3 linked regions of the Canis lupus familiaris genome follow. The protein of the gene in region 3 binds, or shares a complex with, the protein of the main gene of each other region. Links are inferred from orthologs where the notes say so. Each region holds a gene or a part of one and is shown on either strand. Other genes may lie near its edges.

What was found.
Region 1: TAF3 (region 3) and TAF8 share a complex: the UniProt entries of both Homo sapiens proteins name them as parts of the TFIID basal transcription factor complex. The link is inferred for Canis lupus familiaris from reciprocal best matches to the Homo sapiens genes TAF3 and TAF8.
Region 2: TAF3 (region 3) and TAF10 share a complex: the UniProt entries of both Homo sapiens proteins name them as parts of the TFIID basal transcription factor complex. The link is inferred for Canis lupus familiaris from reciprocal best matches to the Homo sapiens genes TAF3 and TAF10.

What each region holds. Positions count from the first base shown.
Region 1 is NC_049233.1:10,876,703-10,880,934, forward strand, and holds the start of TAF8 (transcription initiation factor TFIID subunit 8), read left to right. Parts: upstream 1-1,333; 5' UTR 1,334-1,350; coding exon 1,351-1,395; intron 1,396-1,702; exon of another isoform or gene 1,703-1,926; intron 1,927-2,178; coding exon 2,179-2,335; intron 2,336-4,232. UniProt on the Homo sapiens protein: The TFIID basal transcription factor complex plays a major role in the initiation of RNA polymerase II (Pol II)-dependent transcription.
Region 2 is NC_049242.1:30,425,217-30,428,713, reverse strand, and holds TAF10 (transcription initiation factor TFIID subunit 10), read left to right. Parts: upstream 1-1,448; 5' UTR 1,449-1,471; coding exon 1,472-1,703; intron 1,704-1,841; coding exon 1,842-1,996; intron 1,997-2,230; coding exon 2,231-2,295; intron 2,296-2,384; coding exon 2,385-2,499; intron 2,500-2,681; coding exon 2,682-2,771; 3' UTR 2,772-2,876; downstream 2,877-3,497. Other genes in the region: ILK (integrin-linked protein kinase), read right to left, coding at 3,083-3,232, 3,419-3,497. UniProt on the Homo sapiens protein: The TFIID basal transcription factor complex plays a major role in the initiation of RNA polymerase II (Pol II)-dependent transcription.
Region 3 is NC_049223.1:27,335,749-27,339,396, reverse strand, and holds part of TAF3 (transcription initiation factor TFIID subunit 3), read left to right. Parts: coding exon 1-113; intron 114-3,648. UniProt on the Homo sapiens protein: The TFIID basal transcription factor complex plays a major role in the initiation of RNA polymerase II (Pol II)-dependent transcription.

The sequences.
Region 1 (4,232 bases), on a different chromosome or scaffold from region 3:
CGGACTTGCCTCTGGGGAGGGGGGCGTCGCCACCGCCTCGAGCCGAGCCGAGGGGCGTGCGCTCCTCCTCCGGGCGCCCCAACACAAACAGTCTCCACCCCCGCAGGCGCCGCGTGTTTACAAAGTCCGCGCCGCGCCGCGGATCCCGAGTTTAAAGCTGGGCAGGAAGTGGGGAAGAGGGGGCGGGGGAGACAAAGGGGCTGGGTGCTCGGCGCCGCTAGTGTGGGCCCCGACTCCTCCCCCGGCCGCCCGCGGTTGGCCCCGCAGACCCCGGCCCACGTGCCCGGGCGAGGGGGCGGGGCACGCCCCGGGCTCAGGTGCGCCTGCGGGGCCCGGGCCGCGCGGGTTCCCAGAGTCTGGCCCGCGGGGCGCTCGCCAGGCGATCGCGCGTCGCGCAGGAAATAAACAACTTCAGGTGCTGGGTCTTGACCTCCGGCTCTGCTTCTGGCACGTGCCCGAGATCCTCTGCGGGTATTAGCTTATTTTCTTCTCTAGCAATCCCACCCCTGTTCCACACACACACAAAGGAAACTGAGGCACAGTGCGGTTAGGTAACGTGCCCGAAGCCTCACAGCCTGCGATGTTAGGATTCAAACCCGGCGTGCGCGCCCTCCCAGGCACCCGCAAACGGAACTGAAGGAGGGGCAGTGGGGGTCCCCGGTCCCGGCAAGGAGAACCCCCGTCCAGGGCGGCTGATGAGCGAGTGAGACGCAGAAAACCACAGGCACCGCGGGGTCGCAACGCCTCGGGACTGAGGCGGGCCCCGGACAGCTTCTTGCCGCCCGCGCACATCGCTGCGGATCGAGGGCGAGAAGGCAGCGGGATGCAGCGGAAGACCTGGGCTAGCGGGTCTAGGCTCGAGGGGCAGGTGGACGTTGGCGGGCTGCGGGGCCGGTGCGCGCAGAGTAAGGTTTCCCAAAATTACTCGCTCAGGATAATCACCTGCAGAGCTTCACAACACAGAGTCCCAGGCCCCGTCCCCAGAGAGGGAGTCCCTGGGACCGAGCGGGACGCAGCCAAAGGTGTTGCTAACAACAGGCAAGTTTGGAGCGCCCCAGGGATGTGCTCTGCGGGAGAAACGATCTCCTCTAGAAACAGGTGCGAAACCCGAGGGCGCATCTTCCTAGCCGATTCCGAGGCACACCGGGGCCCCAAGAACCTACCACTCACTGTAGGTCACGTGAGCCGGGATCCTCAAACACCGCCGCCCCCCCCCCGCCCCCCGCAACCCGCCTGGGCTTAGGAGAGCTCCGAGGGGTGCGCGCCGCCCCGCCCCCTCCCCGCCCCTCCCCGCTCGGCGACTACAAGTCCCATCCTGCCCTGCGCTCGCGCACAGTACGCCAGAGCAAGATGGCCGACACGGCGGCCACTGCCGGGGCCGGTGGCTCCGGAACGGTAAGGGCGGGAGGCGCGGGGCGGAAGCCGAGAGAGCCTGGGCATTCTGCAACTTCCCCCTAGTGTGGGCAACAAGCTCGCAGCCAGGAATCCAGCCCCACCATGAGCTCCGGGTGGAGGAGCGTCTTTCAGGCCGTAAATGCCCCCCTCCTCGGGACTTGGCTGCGGCCTCCTGAGTTGGCGGACCGGTGTACTGATTGGCTCCTCCGCTGTTGGGGGTTGGGAACCCGGAACACCTCCTGATTGGCTCGGGGAGACCGGCTTCGCCTTCTTATTGGCCAGCCTGAGTTAGGAGGGATTCCCGTTTCAGAATAATTTAGCTTTCCTACTTTTCTGAGCGGTTGCCCTTTGCCTTCCTATGCCCAGCATCGTGTGGTGCTGTTTTAATTTTTCTTTGTAGTGACAGAGTGTGGAGATGCGAGGAACAAGAGAAAGGCCTTTTTTTTTTTAATTTTTTCTGGGAAATGGATGTGAATTCAATCCTATCATGCATGTTTTTTCAGCTATATATTTTGATAATCTGCTAAAAAAGTAAGAAAACTTATTAGAATCTTAAGTTTTAGGTAGCTCCTTAGGATTTAGAACCCCTTGGGTACTCGATGATTACTCAGTTGGCCAGGATTTATAAATCTTAACACCAGGGGCTACCGTATTTTATTAAGCACTGATAAATACATATTTAGCGAAAGAACTTTTGCTTGCCATTGACGATATGTGAACTGTTGGATTGCATTCTTGTCCTGTGGGTGAATTAATTTTTTTTAATGGGGTGCTGATTCGCAGAGATCAGGAAGTAAACAATCCACTAACCCTGCTGATAACTACCATCTGGCCCGGAGGCGAACCCTTCAAGTGGTCGTGAGCTCCTTGTTGACAGAGGCAGGGTTCGAGAGTGCTGAAAAAGCATCCGTGGAAACATTGACAGAGATGCTGCAGAGCTGTAAGTACCAGGAAACAATAGCTCCTTTTCGAGTCAACCAAACATCTGTGCTGTGTCTTGCACTCTGATAGTGTTAAAGATAGGAAAAAGAACAGCATAGTAAAGTGACTTTCAGGCTTTAGAATCAGATGGACGTGGGTGTAAGTCATCGCTCTGCCACTTAATAGCTTGAACAAGTTGCTAAACCTCCTGAACCTCAATTTCCTTATTTGTGAAGTAGGACAATAATTTGTATCTCCTGGAGTTGTGAGGATAAGTGAGGTGCATGTGTAAGACACTTGATATTAGGAACCTGGTAACCTCTTGATGGTTTATAAGTGCTGTTGTTGCTGCTTGTTCTCTATATTCCAGGAAGTTATAGTTTTGTTGCAGAGTCATGATCAAGTCCCATGAATAGATGCTATATATTGGATAATCAAATGCTATAGTATGTGATACAAAGAGGGAGAGTAAATAAGTTTTATAGAACGGAAAAAAAAATGCTTAAGAGGAAACACATTGAGTTGGAGAAGCCTAGAATGGTCTCACACAGGCTTTTCTGCATATACAGTGTATTTCCCTGCTTGGGTTTTATTAGTGGTGGTGGCAGTGGCAGCATGGCAGGGTGGTGGAAAGTAGAATGGGATGAGAGATGGGCTTACTTAACTTGTCTTTTGAGGGATCAACACAAATCAAAGTGAGAGAAAGCTTTAGGCAGGGGGGAGATTAACTGCAATGCAGGCCAAATAAAGAATTGACTGACTCAGTGGGGACCTCTGGAGCACCTGTACTTCAGAGTACACCACATCAGGCTGAAAGGGCCTTGCATTTGTACTCAGTTCTTGATCGGACACTCGATGTGGGCTGCCCCAGGAAGGACGTGGTCTGAGGTGAGGTGGCTCTCTGCAGCTGGTGTTTGGAACTTTTATTTTTTTATTTTTTATTATTATTATTTTTTGTTTGGAACTTTTAAATACCAAATGTTTTCCTAAAGCAATGATCTCAAATGTTTTGATCTTAGAACCTATTTAGACTCTTTTTTTTTTTTTTTTTAGACTCTTAAATATTGAGGATCCTGAGGAGTTTTGTCTACATGGGCTTTATATAGAGCGATTTTTGCCACATTAGAAAATAAAATTGAAAAAAAAAAAAAAAGAAAGAAAGAAAAGAAAATTGAGGACAGCCCGTGTGGCTCAGCAGTTTAGTGCCGCCTTCAGCCCAGGGCCTGATCCTGGGGACCTAGGATCGAGTCCCACATTGGGCTCCCTGCATGGAGCTTGCTTCTCCCTCTGCCTATGTCTCTGCCTCTCTCTCTGTGTGTGTGTCTCTCATGAATAAATAAATAAAATCTTTAAAAAAAAGAAAAAGAAAATTGAAAAAAATTAAATATAAACATATATGAGTCCACATTCTATTATCCCTCAGAGCCATGATATCATCATAGCCCATGTAACCTCTGGAAAACTACATGAGACAATGAGTTAAAAAGTCAAAGAATGTCTTCACTTAATTATAAACATAGTTTTGGTCTGTGGACTCTGGAAAGGATCTCAGGGCTGCCTGAGGACTCCCAGGCCCCACTTTGAGAACTTTTGTCCTCAAAGAACGGACTAATAGTTCCCAACAGAATTCAGTTTTTGAAAAATTCTTGGAATTCAGAGTTTAAAGATCCTCATGATTAAGGCAATTATTTCTGATACCACTGGACAAAAGGCCTTTTTTCTCTCAGAAGAAATAGTTGCCACCAAGCGGGATGGAGCTGAGATAGTTGTGTTGGAAAGCTGTGAATATTGAAACTAAAAGGCTTGAAAATGGCATAAAAGTCTGCCACTCCAAGGCACCTAAGTGGTTCAGAGGTTGAGCATCAACTTTTGGCTCAGGTCGTGATCCCAGGATCCTGGGATCAAGTCCCACATCG
Region 2 (3,497 bases), on a different chromosome or scaffold from region 3:
CTAAATGTATCTAGCCCTCATTTACTTCTTTCCATCTCTACTGCTACTACATTAGCTTAGGACTGTATCTTCTCTCCTCTGAATTGTAGGAGGCCCTTGCCAAAGGTGTCCTTACTTCCTGCCCATCCGCAAAATCGTTTTTTCAGAGTAAAATGCAAATCCCATCAGGTCATTTACTTAAGACCCTTCAAAGGTTACTGATGCAATTCTGGCTTTTTGCTATGACTCACAAACCTGATTCTTCCCTTGCCATTTGTTCCTGAGTACCAAATTGTTTATCTTCTCTTGTTCCCCCTCCCGGCTCTGCACACACTTTCACTTTTCCTCAAGGTAGTCTATGCCCTTAACATGTCCCTCGACTCCCTTTACCTGGTTCATTTCCAGTTCTCTTTAAAAACTCAGAAGTCATATCCTCCTGTGAACCTTTTGACTCCCTGAAGGTAGCTCATTTTTGTGTAGCAGAAAAATTCTGGGTTTTTAAAAACAGACCTATTTGATACTTGGTTCTGACGTAGACTAGGACAGAGCCTTGGACAGGTACATCTCCCCGAGTCTTTTCCCTCCTCTGTTAAGGGGGCATATCAATACCTGCGTCGCACAGTAATCAGGGAATAATTAAGTGGAATAAAGTTGATGAGTGCCTGACACAAAGAAGTAGGCGGCAGATGTTAGTCCCCTTCCTCCTTTGCACTGCATACTGTGTCTACCTCTAGTATTGTAACTCCAATGTAGGACTGAAAATGCCAGCTAACCTGTTTGCCTCCCCGACTGTCAGCGCCGAGAGGACGAGAGTCTCGTCCTGCTTAACTTTGTACTCCCAGGCCCTCGCTCAGGATGGGCAAATAGGAATTAAATAAATGTGTGTTGCGTTGAACACCCCCCCCCCACACACTCGCTGTGATGCTGCGTATGTTGTTTATTCAGGCTGAAATACCTCCTTCCCCAACTATGGCAACACTGCACATTCCTACTGTCCTCCATTCCCAGGGCAGTCGCGGGGGGCGGGGGGGGGGGGAGACTTACAACCCTTAAAAGGCTGAGTAAGGGAACTGGAAAGGATACAGACTGGCAGGCAACCCGTGGCCGAGGGGGGGGGGTCCCTAAGCAAGGTCTTTAAGTGCCAGGTTGCAGGAGGGGCAGGAGGGGCCCCGGACCCGCAGAAGAGCGTCCTAGACGTCGACGGTTCCCAGCCCCGCGGCAGGGCCTAGGACTTCGCCCGGGGGGTGGGGGGGGTGGGGGGGGGTGGGGGCGGGGGGAGGGCGGGGGGCGTGGGGGGAGGGCGGGGGGAGGCAGCCCGGCGGCGGCGGCGGCATCTCACTGGCTAGCCGACATCCAGGAGGCGGGAGACCCGACACAGACGACAAACATGGCGTGGGCGGGGCGAAGCGCGGGGCGTGTGACGTCACCCGGCGTGTGCGTAACGTGAGCGGAAGCGGAAGCGGCTCTGTTCGCCGCCTCTCCCACCGGCCCGATGAGCTGCAGCGGCTCCGGCGCGGACCCCGAGGCGGCGCCGGGTTCCGCCGCCTCGGCCCCGGGCCCGGCGCCCACGGTCTCGGCCCCCGCAGCGCTGCCCGCCGGCACCGCTGCGGAGAACAAGGCCAGCCCCGCGGGGACAGCGGGGGGACCCGGGGCTGGAGCTGCGGCAGGGGGCACGGGACCCGTGGCGGCGCGGGCCGGGGAGCCGGCCGAGCGGCGCGGGGCGGGTGAGGGCCGGGCCGGGTGAGGGCGAGGGCAGCGCCGGGGGCTGGGCCCGGCGGCGGGTGAGGGCGGGGGGTTTGAGGCCGACCTAAGCGGGGCTGCGCATCTTCCACCTCCATGTCTATTTGCTGCTTCTCCTCCAGCTCCCGTGTCGGCGGGCGGCGCGGCGCCCCCGGAGGGGGCCATGTCTAACGGGGTTTACGTGCTGCCGAGCGCCGCCAACGGAGACGTGAAGCCGGTGGTGTCCAGCACGCCTCTGGTGGACTTCCTGATGCAGCTGGAGGACTATACGCCTACGGTGGGCTTCCTGCCTGAACAGGCTATTGGGGCGCTGTCAGGCCAAGCTTCCGCTACACCACCTGGATTTCCAGCTTTCTTTCGTACTTGCTCCCCTACTAGCTCTTTGATTTATCCCCTCTGCCCACCCAAACCGTGGGCTTCCTGAAAGCCGGGCCTGTCCTCCATTTCCCTCATCCTCTCAGCCCAGCAGTGCACAGGGCACACACTGACAGTCCTCTCGTTGATCTCTCAGATCCCAGATGCAGTGACTGGTTACTACCTGAACCGTGCTGGCTTTGAGGCCTCGGACCCACGCATGTGAGTACAGCTTGGGTAGGTTACAGCCTTGGGTGCTTGTGTGGAGTTTCTGGTCTCCTCTCCTTCTCACCCCAGTTTTTTCTCTCTAGAATTCGGCTCATCTCCCTAGCTGCCCAGAAATTCATCTCAGATATTGCCAACGATGCCCTACAGCACTGCAAAATGAAGGGCACAGCTTCTGGCAGCTCCCGAAGCAAGAGCAAGGTGTGAGGGGAGGCTCATTGAATCAGTAATTATCTCCCACAGCATCGGAGGCTTAATTTGTCCTGAAACCCCTTTGGGGAAACTAAGCCCTAGGGGAGGTGAAAGACCTACTCAGGGTCACCCACCTGGGATTGAAATCCGGAATTCCCCTGCTCAGCTGGTGCTCTTCCCTCTTCCCTCAGGACCGCAAGTACACTCTAACCATGGAGGACTTGACCCCTGCCCTCAGCGAATATGGCATCAATGTGAAGAAGCCGCACTACTTCACCTGAGCCACCCAACCTAAATGTACTTGTCTGTCCCCCTGTCCCCACACCAGCCTGTTTTCATAATAAACTTTATTGTGACAGGCAGGGCTGGTCCCTCCCATGCTGGGAGATACCGTGTGGCAAGTGACAAAGCTCTGAGCCTAGCCCCTTTGGGGGCTGCAGTGGTAGGGATGGGGGCAGGGGATGGGCCCCATGGCTGGGGTAGTACCATGACTGGAGGCAGGGGAGGCAACCAGAGGCCTGCTGCTTTGGGGAGACACACTCCCCTAACCGTGTCCTGACACCTCTGGAGTTTAGGCAAGGGCTTTCCAGCTCTACTTGTCCTGCATCTTCTCCAGGATAGGCACAATCATGTCAAACTTGGGCCGCTTAGCAGGGTCTTCATTCATGCAGATCTTCATGAGCTTACACACATGGGGGGAAATGCCTGGTGGGATAGTAGGCCGAAGGCCTTCCAGTGCCACCTGCAGATACAGGAAAAAAACAAAATGGGTCTCAGAACTTCTAATATCCTGTGAGGAGAGGCCTCTAGTCCTCAGGAAAGGATTACTGTATATTTGAACAAATATGGGAAGAGCCCAGCCCTGCTATAGTTGTTGTCACCACCACTACCATTCCTTCAACATAAGTGCATACAGTTGTTCTCTCACCTTCATTCCAATCTCCATGTTGGAGAGGTCAGCAAAGGGTACCTCCCTCGTCACCAGTTCCCACAGAAGCACTGCAAAA
Region 3 (3,648 bases):
TCCTGTTAGTAAGAACAATGTCCTTCAATTTCCTCAACCTGGAAGTAAAGATGCAGAGGAAAGAAAAGAATACATTCCTGATTACATGCCACCCATTGTGTCTTCACAAGAAGGTTTGTGACTTCTTTGTTTGTTTTTACTCATACGTCTGTAAGTATTTTAATGCGTTCTTAATCTTAATTTTCCTAACTGAATTGTATAAAACGCTGTGCCAACGTATAAATTCTAGAAATGCAATCAAGATATTCTAATATTATTTTCAAATCAGTCTAACCTTTAAGCCAGCAAACTTACACTGGCGTCACCAGTCAGAGCCATGGCACAGTCAGGGTTGTCTGATGGGGCATCTATTTCCTTTCTAAAGTTTAAGTAGGGGAGAACAGAATGTGATCCCAGAGAGAAGACTTCCCATAGATGTATCATGTGGGAACGGGACATTAAATAAATTAGAAAATCTTTGCAACATAAAGGAAAATCGGGGTCACTCTCTGCCTCTCCTCTGTGTTGTAAATGTGAGTTGGATGATACCAGGAACAGTGAGTGAGTAATATTTACTAGTGTTTTGCAGATTTATCTCCATTTTTTAAATGATGAGTAGAAATGTTTATTGTTTGGCCATGGCAGCATTTTTGATTAAAAAATAATAGCAAATCAGGCTCAGTAGTCAAACATTACAGAGTTCCTTCTCCCTGCATGATTTTACGTGTTGATCCTTTAGGTTCACTAAGGTTCTAAGAGATACATAGTAATTTGTGGTCTCTCATGCAGGTACACAGTATATTTTCTTGTAAAAATGGAAAAGTTCCAATTCATTTCCTTGTACCTTTATATTTGCACCTTTCTACCTTCCACCAGCAATGCCCCACGTTTCCAGTTTCTTGTAATTCATTTCTTGTAATCTCCTGTTCCACTTCAATAGCATCTTGGGATGCTACCCATTTCTTTCATTGACTCGCTTTAGATTTGGAATAGTAGTTTTACAATCTGCGTATCAGTGTTGCCTCATTTGAAAAACCGGGTAAAAACTGGCCCTACGTCGTGGAGACTTACTATGGGTTAGTGTATCCTCAGACACTCTGTGTCTTGGGTGCAGTGGGCCCTCCCACAGAGGGCTGGTGCTGTCATTAACATGCTGAGAATGCAGCACTGTACCTGTGCTTGTTGGTAGCTGTGTAGGTATGGAGGTTCAGATAGGTAGGTACCAGAGTTTTCTGAGTTGAGTGGCTTGGGAAGCTTGTCAGGTTAGCACTTCTCTGCTGAGAACTTAATAATGACAAACTTCTCTGCTTGGGGACTTAATAATGACAAAACTGACAAGAACTGGTATCACCAGTGCTTCACACAAAATGTGCCTTGGGTAAACGTTCTGGAACTGAGTGAAATGCTGTTTGTAGGGGCTTGTTAATGGAAGTTCATTGTTTCTCCTCCTTTCCGGGCCCACTTTTATATTATTAACAGCAGGACTTAGAAATCTACAGATGTATCTCAGTTATCCCAACTTCCTGTAGCAACTACTTAAAATTCGTCTCTTCCTCACCATTGAGATTGTGTATCTGTAGCCTGTGGTACCTTTGAGGAAATCTTCCTCCTTATAGCCCCTGTGTGAGGTCTGTCTCTGTAAACCCCTCATTCCCTAATGTCAGTGTCTTTGACCTTAGAAATGTATATTTCTCACAACTTCTCTAAACATATATTTGTTTGCTTTAAAAACATAACCAATGCATTTCAGTATCAGAATTCTCAAAGGAGGGTTTCTTGGGCAGAAGCCTGCTTAGTAGCTGGATTGCAAAGAATTCATCTTTTCTTATAGACAGGTCATGAATATCAAGCAGGCCTGGAATTTCCTTCTTTGCTGTTGTCACTCAATATGATTTATTAAGCATCCTAGATGTCCTCATGAAAGCAGTACTAAGTGTGCTCTAAGAGTAATCTTTGAGTGGCTCTGAAATTTTTAGTTGAAAGGCCACTTAAAAGTACAAGGAGTACAGAATTTGAAATTGTGCTAAGAAAACATGAAGGGGGTTCCCGGGTGGCTCAGTTGGTTAAGTGTCTGCATTCGGCTGAGGTCGTGATCCCAGGGTACTGGGATCGAGCCCCACATTGGGCACCCTGCTCCACCCCCACTTATGCTTGTGCATGCATTCTCTCTCTCCCTCTCTCTCTCTCTCTCTCTCTCTCTGAAATAAATAAATAAATAAATAAATAAATAAATAAATAAATAAATAAATAAAATCTTTAAAATTTTGGGAGAGAACTTAAGATGTTATATAGGACGACACTAAAGGAGCCACACTAATGTAAGTAACTGGCGTGTCAGCGATTCTCTGGATAATAAGTGATGGTGAGTTTTATATTAGTGAATTAGGTAACGGTTACTAGCCAGGACTTCTGTGCATTATCGGTTGGTGTGTTTTTGAACCAGAACTACTATCTTCTCCATTTAAAACATTTTAGTCCATGTACTCTGTGCTTTTTGAGCTTTCTAATTCTATTTTGTGGTTTACCTGTTTTTTTGTCTCCTTTTCTACCTTCTGCTTAATGAATTGCTTAATTTTTTTTCTGGCCTTTTAAAAAATTTGGACTCTGACATTTGATTAATCTTAACCCGTAATTCATATATAGCTCATCATTGGTCCATCTATAACCTGCATTTATTCACTTAGAGAGTTTATTGAATCATTTGTAATAACATAGTAAGCCCTACCAAACTCACTATTGAAAATTAAGCTCAGGACTTTGATAATAATCAACACTTAACCACTTAGTCCCTCTCATTTTATTTTTATAGCATGAAAATGATACACAAGGAAATTCATGGTTAGCATTTGTAAATACCGCCATGGAAATGTAACTAAGATATCAGTAAAGGGGTATAAAAAACAGTTTAGGGATTTTAATACTGACTTCAGTTTGAAATTAACTACAATAAATTTTTGAGTCTCCTGAATCATTTGAGGCAAAAAGAATCATGGTTTTTTTTTTTTTTGAAGTTTCAGACAATATAAATTATAAACCTCTTAAAAGGAAAATAACATAAACCTGAACACTTCTTTTTTTCAGCTAACAGTTATAGATTCTCTCAGGAGCAGAAATTCTGCTGATTCATGAGGTACGCATATGGTTCCGAAGGGTGCAATAAGTGATAGGCAGTACAATAAGATGTTTATCAAACCTCTTCCTCCTGTTCAGGGAAAAGGATATAAAATAAATACAGTCCCATGGTTACCATTTTTTAATATAGCCTCCCAAGTCAATTTAATAAATCATTTACAATCTGAAATCTTTTTTCCCCCCTGGTCCCATGTTAGAAAATTCCTAGTATTCTGGTTAGTGTTGCAGAGGGTGATATACCTGTGATAGTAATACTTGTTCACAGATTTCTTTTCCTTTTATTTCCTTAAGAGCCACAGACAGGGCCAGGCTTTGGTCATAAAATATCATTAACAAAGTATGATCATGAGACTACCCACTTATTGATCCTTCAGCTTGGTTCGTGTCAGAAGAGCACCAGAATGACTTGTCTGCTTGTAGCACTGGGAACACTGCTGAGGGTGGAGAAACAGGCAGTCGTAGAGAAGACATGGGCCCCATGGCTCCATTCAGTTGGGTCTCGACGGGTTACTGAGTTTAACGTCTTACCAAGTTGCT